2 linked regions of the Arabidopsis thaliana genome follow. Each later gene encodes a partner of the first gene's protein in a complex. Each region holds a gene or a part of one and is shown in the gene's direction. Other genes may lie near its edges. The genes, in order: SAE2 and SCE1.

Region 1 (3,923 bases):
TACATTTTTTAAAAAGTAACAAAGGTTTTATTCCCTGTAGTTTGTTCTATTTCATTTCTCTTCATTCTTTCTTCTTTTTGTTCCTATTATTTTAGGAGTTATTATTAAAAATAGGCATTTGTTGGGTTGGAAATTAGAGATTAGGAAATTTTGTAATGCTTTACAGAATTAAACATTTCTGGTTTTGTGTCTTGACAATTTTACCCTTCATTCCACTAGAGCGAATAATGAAAATTTAACTTAGCTTTCTAATGACTGAAGTGAATGCCAATAATTGTAGATCGATTATGTGCTAGGATTTGTTGCTGTTGGGATTAGTGGACAAGATTAATTTTCATTTACAATGGATATGTTTAAGCTACGAAGTTGTTGTGTACAATTGTAGATTTTTGAAACTGTAAAACAAGATTAGAAAAGAAGAACATCACAGGAGAAACCTGATTGAGGTCACAATATTACAAAATTTACAACTTTTGCAGAAACGAATATTGGTTTGGGTGTATACACCACCGAGACATTAGTAGTATTTGGTTCATGAAATGAAATCATTTTTTTTTTTTTTTGAATACCAGAGATTCTGGGTCAAAGTCCGTAATCCTCCCAAATCTGAAACCACAGCATATAATATTAGTTTAGTCTCAAGCGTCACTCGAACCGGCAACCTCTAAGCTTCACCTAGGGTTTTTACCAATTAAGCTAACGATATTTGGTATAAATGAATTCTTTTTTAGTTACACTCAGATGGATACTAGGCTTTACAGACAAAGAAGTCGAGAGTGCACAAGCACCAATCCTACTAAATCCATTTTGATCACTTCACAACATGATATCAAGTGAAATGGATATTATTTATGAGGAAGTGTAATTTAATAATCTAGGTTACACCTATGTGTATATAATGCAACAAACAATCAATTAGTAAAACTACACCCCAAAGCGAATTACAAGATCAACACAAAGAGTCACATAAATGTGCATTCAAGAAATGACAATAAACACTAAGGTCTTGAATATGGGAGAACCCAATTAGACGAGATAAAATGCAAGCCAATAACAGGTAATTAGGACTACAAAACAAAGAGATAAAATGCATAACATGATTCAAAATTGGAAACTAAATTGAACAATCAATGAGCTAACTAGGGCTATTAGAGTAATCAACACAAGAGAATGCATCAAGGTAAAGAAGGAGAATCAAGCACATACATTAGTCGTATGTGACTAACGACCAATGAATTAGTGAAACTAAACCCTAAAGTCAATTACAAGTATCATCCCGAGGGAATTACATAAACACCTATTGAAGAAAGGAAATACTAAAGACCAGAGAACCCAATGGGCATGATAAAACACAAGGCAAAGAGCTCTAAGTATCATGACAGAGAAGAAGAGGTAACACACCGAATTCAACACACAATGAAGAAAGAACATTACACCATGAGAGACGTACGATGCTTCCATTCAGTATCCATTGTAGGAATTCATCAAACCAGAGAAAGCATTACTTGAATATACATTCCATCAACCAAGCAAAAAGTCGTGACTGAAATAAACTACAAATTCAACAAAACAAACGTGTTTTGTTTTTATCAAAACGTCATTGTCTAGATTTATTGAATTAAGCTTTAACTCTTAGCAAATGATTGAGATAGTTTAAACAAATATCAAGAACTTAACCTAACGTAAGCTATAAACTCTATATAAAAAAATCCATCAGTAGAGATAGTTTATAAAATTTGAAAAGAAAAAAATTAAAAGGCTTGAGTCCGATCAAACTACTAATTAAAAGCCATCACTAAATTGAGCAAGAAGGTGTAAAGACATTTATATGAAAAAAAATATATATCTTTTTAATTAATGTTTTTCAAACATAAGTTTACATAAAAAATAAAAATTCACTCGAATCAAAATTTTGTTTTGACTCGAATCGAATTGAATTAAAAAAGTCAACTACACTAAATATTCGAAAGAGGAAACTAACAAGTTTACACACAAAAAAGCCCACGTGACTCTTTTTTCTCCAAGAGACGTCTCTTTTCCTCTTCTCTCCTTTGTTCTTTCTTCCAAATTTCCCAAATCCCTCCACAATAAACCCTAGAAAATCAAAATTCGCTACTATTTCTCTGTTCCCTAATTTCTTTCGATTTCAATTCATTAGTCCTAAAAAGCTTTAATTTTTCTAATCCCCCAGTTCTCCTTCTTCTGCTTCTGAATCGTCGTTTAACGTATTGCTCCGTCTTTTCACTTTCTCCGCCATGGCTACGCAACAACAGCAATCCGCCATTAAAGTAAGCTCTGAAGGTGAACTTAAGCTTCTTTTTATTGGGGTGTTTTCAAATTGAAGTCTTTTCAATTCTCCTGTGTTTGGTTTTAGGGCGCGAAAGTGCTTATGGTTGGAGCTGGTGGGATTGGTTGCGAGTTACTTAAGACTCTTGCTCTTTCTGGATTCGAGGACATTCATATTGTAAGTTTCTCAATTTCTTTCCACTTTTTCTGTTTTCGTGACTTTTAGTATTCTTAACTTGTGATTTCTTCTTCTTCTCTATTGAGATTCTGGGTCACAGACGAAAGTTTAAGCATTTCAAATCTCCTATTGTGCTACTGGATTTGATTGGCATTTAGGGTTATTGATGATTTGAGTAATTTCAACATCTTTGAGCTTTTAGATCAAGTTAAGTTTGACTTGGAAGATGGAATCATATGTCTCTAGGAGGACTCTCTGTTTAGCTGTCTTCGCCAATAGGTTTAGTGTAATTTCTAAGACTAGTTAGGCTATTTATAATTTGGTGTGCATGAATTGCTTCTGTTTTAATTTTCGGATTTTGTAGATTTATGATTGATGTTTTGTATCAGAAACCATCGGATTTCACCTGTGCTCCTACTGGATTTCTGTATGAATAGAGCAGGGACTTATAAGATTAGTTTGTAACCGTGATTAAGTTACTGAACTCTTGTGTTACAGATTGACATGGACACTATTGAAGTCAGTAACCTGAATAGGCAATTTCTATTCCGTCGTTCTCATGTTGGGCAGTCTAAGGCTAAGGTAATTTTGCTTGAGCTAAGTCCAAGGAAAGCCAGTTCATAAGAGTTAATATATTTTTACCATATCACCAGGTTGCCAGAGATGCAGTCTTGAGATTTAGGCCTAACATTAATATAAGATCATACCATGCAAATGTGAAGAATCCCGAGTTTGATGTTGATTTTTTCAAGCAATTTGATGTTGTTCTGAATGGGCTGGACAACTTGGACGCAAGGCGTCATGTGAATCGCCTTTGTCTTGCAGCTGATGTTCCTCTTGTAGAAAGTGGGACAACGGGCTTCCTTGGACAGGTTATTCTGCTTGCCTTTTGGTCTTGCAGCTCTTCTTTCTCTTATCATTATTCTATGAGTTAGATGCACTACAATGTTAGGCTTGAATGGTGTACTGTTGTCATTTCTCTCGTATCTGACTTTGCAATACTTGCTTGTAAAAATCAGGTAACTGTGCATATAAAGGGAAAAACAGAATGTTATGAGTGCCAAACCAAACCTGCTCCAAAGACTTATCCTGTGTGTACAATAACCAGCACGCCAACTAAGGTATTAACACTGTCTTGTTTGTTCCAAATTTTTGTGAATCTTGGGGAAATTATATTCTATCTTGGCTTATATAGTATTATCCTAAGCATAGAGCTTGTTTTTGATGTGCCGATGAATTTTGAATTGATTCTGCAGTTTGTGCACTGTATTGTATGGGCAAAAGACCTGCTCTTTGCAAAGTTGTTTGGCGACAAGAATCAAGATAATGATCTTAATGTGCGATCCAACAATTCTGCAAGCTCATCCAAAGAAACAGAAGATGTATTTGAACGTTCAGAAGATGAAGATATTGAGCAGTATGGTAGGAAGATATATGATCATGTGTTTGGTTCTAACAT
Region 2 (3,923 bases), on another chromosome or scaffold:
GTTTTTGATCCGTGCACCGTTGTTACTGTTGGAGTTTTTGATAACTGCCATCTCCATGGAGGTGAGAAGATTGGAGGAGCAAAAGATTCAAGAATCGGGAAGGTAAGAATCAGGCTTTCTACTCTCGAGACTGATCGAGTTTATACACATTCATACCCTCTTTTGGTGCTCCATCCTAACGGAGTCAAGAAAATGGGAGAAATTCACTTAGCTGTGAGATTCACTTGCTCTTCATTGCTCAACATGATGTATATGTACTCACAGCCTCTCTTACCGAAGATGCATTATATCCATCCACTGACGGTTAGCCAGCTTGATAACTTGAGGCATCAAGCGACTCAGATTGTATCGATGAGGCTGACCCGAGCAGAACCACCTCTAAGGAAAGAAGTAGTTGAGTATATGCTTGATGTGGGTTCTCACATGTGGAGTATGCGGAGAAGCAAAGCAAACTTTTTCAGGATTATGGGAGTTTTGAGTGGGTTAATCGCAGTAGGAAAATGGTTTGAACAAATCTGCAACTGGAAGAATCCAATCACAACAGTCTTGATCCATCTCTTGTTCATCATCCTTGTGCTCTATCCCGAACTAATCTTGCCCACCATCTTCCTCTACCTCTTCCTCATCGGTATCTGGTACTACCGTTGGAGACCGAGGCATCCTCCTCACATGGACACACGTCTCTCTCACGCTGACTCAGCCCACCCCGACGAGCTAGATGAAGAGTTCGACACTTTTCCTACTTCCCGACCATCTGACATAGTCAGGATGAGGTATGACAGGTTGAGGAGTATTGCTGGTAGGATTCAGACAGTGGTAGGTGATCTAGCAACTCAAGGAGAAAGGCTTCAGTCTCTGCTAAGCTGGCGTGATCCGCGTGCAACAGCGCTCTTCGTCTTGTTCTGCTTGATTGCCGCAGTCATTCTCTATGTGACACCTTTCCAGGTTGTGGCTCTTTGTATTGGAATCTATGCTCTGAGACATCCGAGGTTCAGATACAAACTACCATCCGTTCCTCTCAATTTCTTCAGAAGGCTTCCTGCAAGAACTGATTGCATGCTCTGACCTGCAAAAACTGCTTCCAATACCGAAGAAAACTTCTATAAGACTTGTAGTTTGTTCTTGTTAAAAATATCATGATGACTCTTTTTAGTTTGTTCATTGTTAAAAATGTCATGATGACTCTTTTCTTGGTGATGGTGATGATGTATCCGTCTGTCTTTTAACATTATTAAGACTTTTGTTTGAAAGTAGTAAAGAAGTATCTTGTGTGGTTTTGATGTTCTTGTCACTGGTTAGTAAGTCATAATCTATGCCTCTCTGGTTTTTGTGTTTTATCACTGGAGCTTTAGGAGTTTGGTGCCATTGGGTTGGTTGCTGTTGAGATTAGAGGTTGTCACAGTTTGGTCTAATGGTCAAATACAAGTTTCAAGAAAAAACCATTTTTCTAATACATCCAAAGTTGGTTATAACCAAAAAAACTATCATATTGGGAATATATGTTCGCTAAATAACATTCTTACACAAAAATTCATTGAAAGCTTTGATATTTTATTTTTTTTCCGACCATTCTGTTTGACAAATGTTTGCCAGGTGAGATACTTTTATTCTAGAAAGACCAACCATTAAGAAGAAGAGGGGAATAATTAAAGCAAGCTTAAGAGTTAAGAACACAAAGTAAATGGGCCCAGATATGGTAATGGGCCACGTGACAAATGGGATGATACGTTATGGCAGAGAAAGAATCTTTTGGTAGCTTTTTTGGGTATCATCGCGTAGGTTTCACGCCACATTTATCCATTGACTTTTTCATTACGTCTTTTCATTTATTTTATGATATAGTAGATAATAATTATACCTGGTTAAAATTTAATAATTGACCGGTCAATAACCATTAAAGTGGAGGAAGTAGGACGAAAGGACATTTATTCGCCGCGAAATCTGGACCGTACGATACTCCGATTACCCTTCTAAAGCTTTAACATAGGGGTACATCTGTAACTTCACATTCCATCTTCCCCCAATCTCCTATTTGTGTCTTCTTCGAGTTTATATATAGAGAGATAGAGATTGGAGAGCGAGCGAGACAAATCAGAAGAGAGAGATTTAGATATTGTAGAGTGAGATTCTAAAGAGAGAGAGAGAGAGAGATATGGCTAGTGGAATCGCTCGTGGTCGTTTAGCTGAAGAGAGGAAATCGTGGAGGAAGAATCATCCTCATGTAAGTGATTTCGTGTCTTCTATTTCTCCAAATTCGTGATTTTGATTTATGGGTTTTGGGTTTCTGTTGATTGTTCATGGTCTCTGATTACTGATTGGGTTTCTTCTTGTTGATGGTGAAATTTAGGGTTTTGTGGCAAAGCCGGAGACGGGGCAGGATGGAACTGTGAATCTAATGGTGTGGCATTGCACTATACCTGGTAAAGCTGGGGTAAGTATCAATCGTGAAATTAGGTTTCTTCAGTTTTCTTATTCCTCTGCTTGTTTTCTTCTGGTTTGTATTAGTAGCAACAAAAAAGAGATTGAAATTAGGGTTTATTGATTTGGGCTAAAGTCTTTGTTTTTATCATCTTCTGATTCTTAGTTCTTCAAAGTTTTAAGCTTCACCAGTCTCTTCCCTTCTTTTTCTTTGTGATTCTGTTTGATGATTCTCTCATATTTGCTTACACATAGAGCCGTGGAAGATTATCTAATATGAATGTTAGTGGGAAGAGTAGCTGTGTATCTATCTCCTTGTTTATCTTGTATGATGTTTTTTTATTGGTGCATATGATTTTGGTCTTGAATACGACATTGAAACTGAACTCTGCTGTGTATCTTACTTTGACATGGCTAATAAGAGTGTTACTGCAAGAGCAATTGCTAATATCAATCTTTACTGTTGTTTATAGCTAATTTTACATGTTTCTCTGCTGCAGACTGATTGGGAAGGTGGATTCTTTCCATTAACGATGCACTTCAGTGAGGATTATCCGAGCAAACCTCCGAAATGTAAATTTCCACAAGGGTTTTTCCACCCTAATGTCTATCCATCTGGAACTGTCTGTCTCTCTATCCTTAACGAGGATTATGTAAGTACTCTACTGTTTCTTTCTTTGCATTTCTCCATGAGCAAAAGCCAGCTTTATCCTCAAGCTCTCTTTTGTTATGTGTATATCCATAGGGATGGAGACCAGCCATCACCGTGAAGCAGATTCTTGTTGGTATTCAGGATTTACTTGACACACCGAATCCCGCTGACCCTGCACAGACAGATGGTTATCATCTCTTCTGTCAGGTACATTTAGAAATGAAAACTCTAAACACAATATTAGGTTTTGAAACATAGGAAGGAACTAAGTCGAGTGATTGTTGATGATTATTGTGCAGGATCCAGTTGAGTACAAGAAAAGGGTGAAGCTGCAGTCCAAGCAGTATCCTGCTCTTGTCTAAAACCTCAAAAAAGAGAACGCACCAAAACTGATGACAAGCTCTGAATATTTTCTCGTCTTGTGTCATTATGTTTAGATGTCATTGGGTGATTGAAAACTCCTCATTTTGGCACCTTAAGACACTGGAATCTATTTATTTTCGAAAAAAAACTCTTCTTTCTCTATTTAACTGTTAATATTCTTGGTACTGATTCAGTTGGTGTTGCTTCTATATAATACATAATTATGTTCTCTGGTCGTTCATGAGTGTTGTCCAAATTCTACTAAGTGAAATATGAAGTCTTCATTCCATAGAGTAACGAATCTTAGTTGTGAATCTAGAAATACATATATTTCTAACTTGAAACTACGCTTAACACTTGAAAGTCAAAATCTTACTCCTCTAAAATTTATACTCCACTGATTTTAGACTTTTGAAGTAGTATTAGTGCTTGTTAGTAAATTGTTTGCTACTTGGAACATTTTTTGTCAATGATTGAGATAGAAAGCTTG

The links.
Region 2: the proteins of SAE2 (region 1) and SCE1 are in contact, whole or in part, in a crystal structure (PDB 6GUM), measured with the Arabidopsis thaliana proteins. Residues at the interface, in NP_179742.2 of Arabidopsis thaliana: Leu469, Met471, Gly473, Asn474, Ser475, Leu476, Glu479, Val480, Gly481, Asp483, Leu484, Asp485, Met488, Asn491, Tyr492, Asn495, Pro504, Thr514, Glu516, Asp517, Leu518, Gln519, Lys525; in NP_191346.1 of Arabidopsis thaliana: Arg7 (codon at 2,171), Ala11 (codon at 2,183), Arg14 (codon at 2,192), Lys15 (codon at 2,195), Arg18 (codon at 2,204), Lys19 (codon at 2,207), Lys28 (codon at 2,360), Pro29 (codon at 2,363), Thr31 (codon at 2,369), Asp34 (codon at 2,378), Gly35 (codon at 2,381), Thr36 (codon at 2,384), Val37 (codon at 2,387), Asn38 (codon at 2,390), Leu39 (codon at 2,393), Met40 (codon at 2,396), Glu67 (codon at 2,964).

Annotation. Positions count from the first base shown.
Region 1 is NC_003071.7:9,196,497-9,200,419, forward strand, and holds the start of SAE2 (SUMO-activating enzyme 2), read left to right. Parts: upstream 1-2,097; 5' UTR 2,098-2,255; coding exon 2,256-2,288; intron 2,289-2,374; coding exon 2,375-2,464; intron 2,465-2,962; coding exon 2,963-3,046; intron 3,047-3,117; coding exon 3,118-3,336; intron 3,337-3,483; coding exon 3,484-3,585; intron 3,586-3,720; coding exon 3,721-3,923.
Region 2 is NC_003074.8:21,428,340-21,432,262, reverse strand, and holds SCE1 (sumo conjugation enzyme 1), read left to right. Parts: upstream 1-1,864; 5' UTR 1,865-2,152; coding exon 2,153-2,221; intron 2,222-2,347; coding exon 2,348-2,431; intron 2,432-2,918; coding exon 2,919-3,071; intron 3,072-3,163; coding exon 3,164-3,277; intron 3,278-3,369; coding exon 3,370-3,432; 3' UTR 3,433-3,767; downstream 3,768-3,923. Other genes in the region: AT3G57880 (Calcium-dependent lipid-binding (CaLB domain) plant phosphoribosyltransferase family protein), read left to right, coding at 1-1,065. UniProt on the Arabidopsis thaliana protein: SUMO-conjugating enzyme that accepts the SUMO proteins from the E1 SUMO-activating heterodimer SAE1/SAE2 and catalyzes its covalent attachment to other proteins with the E3 SUMO ligases SIZ1 and MMS21.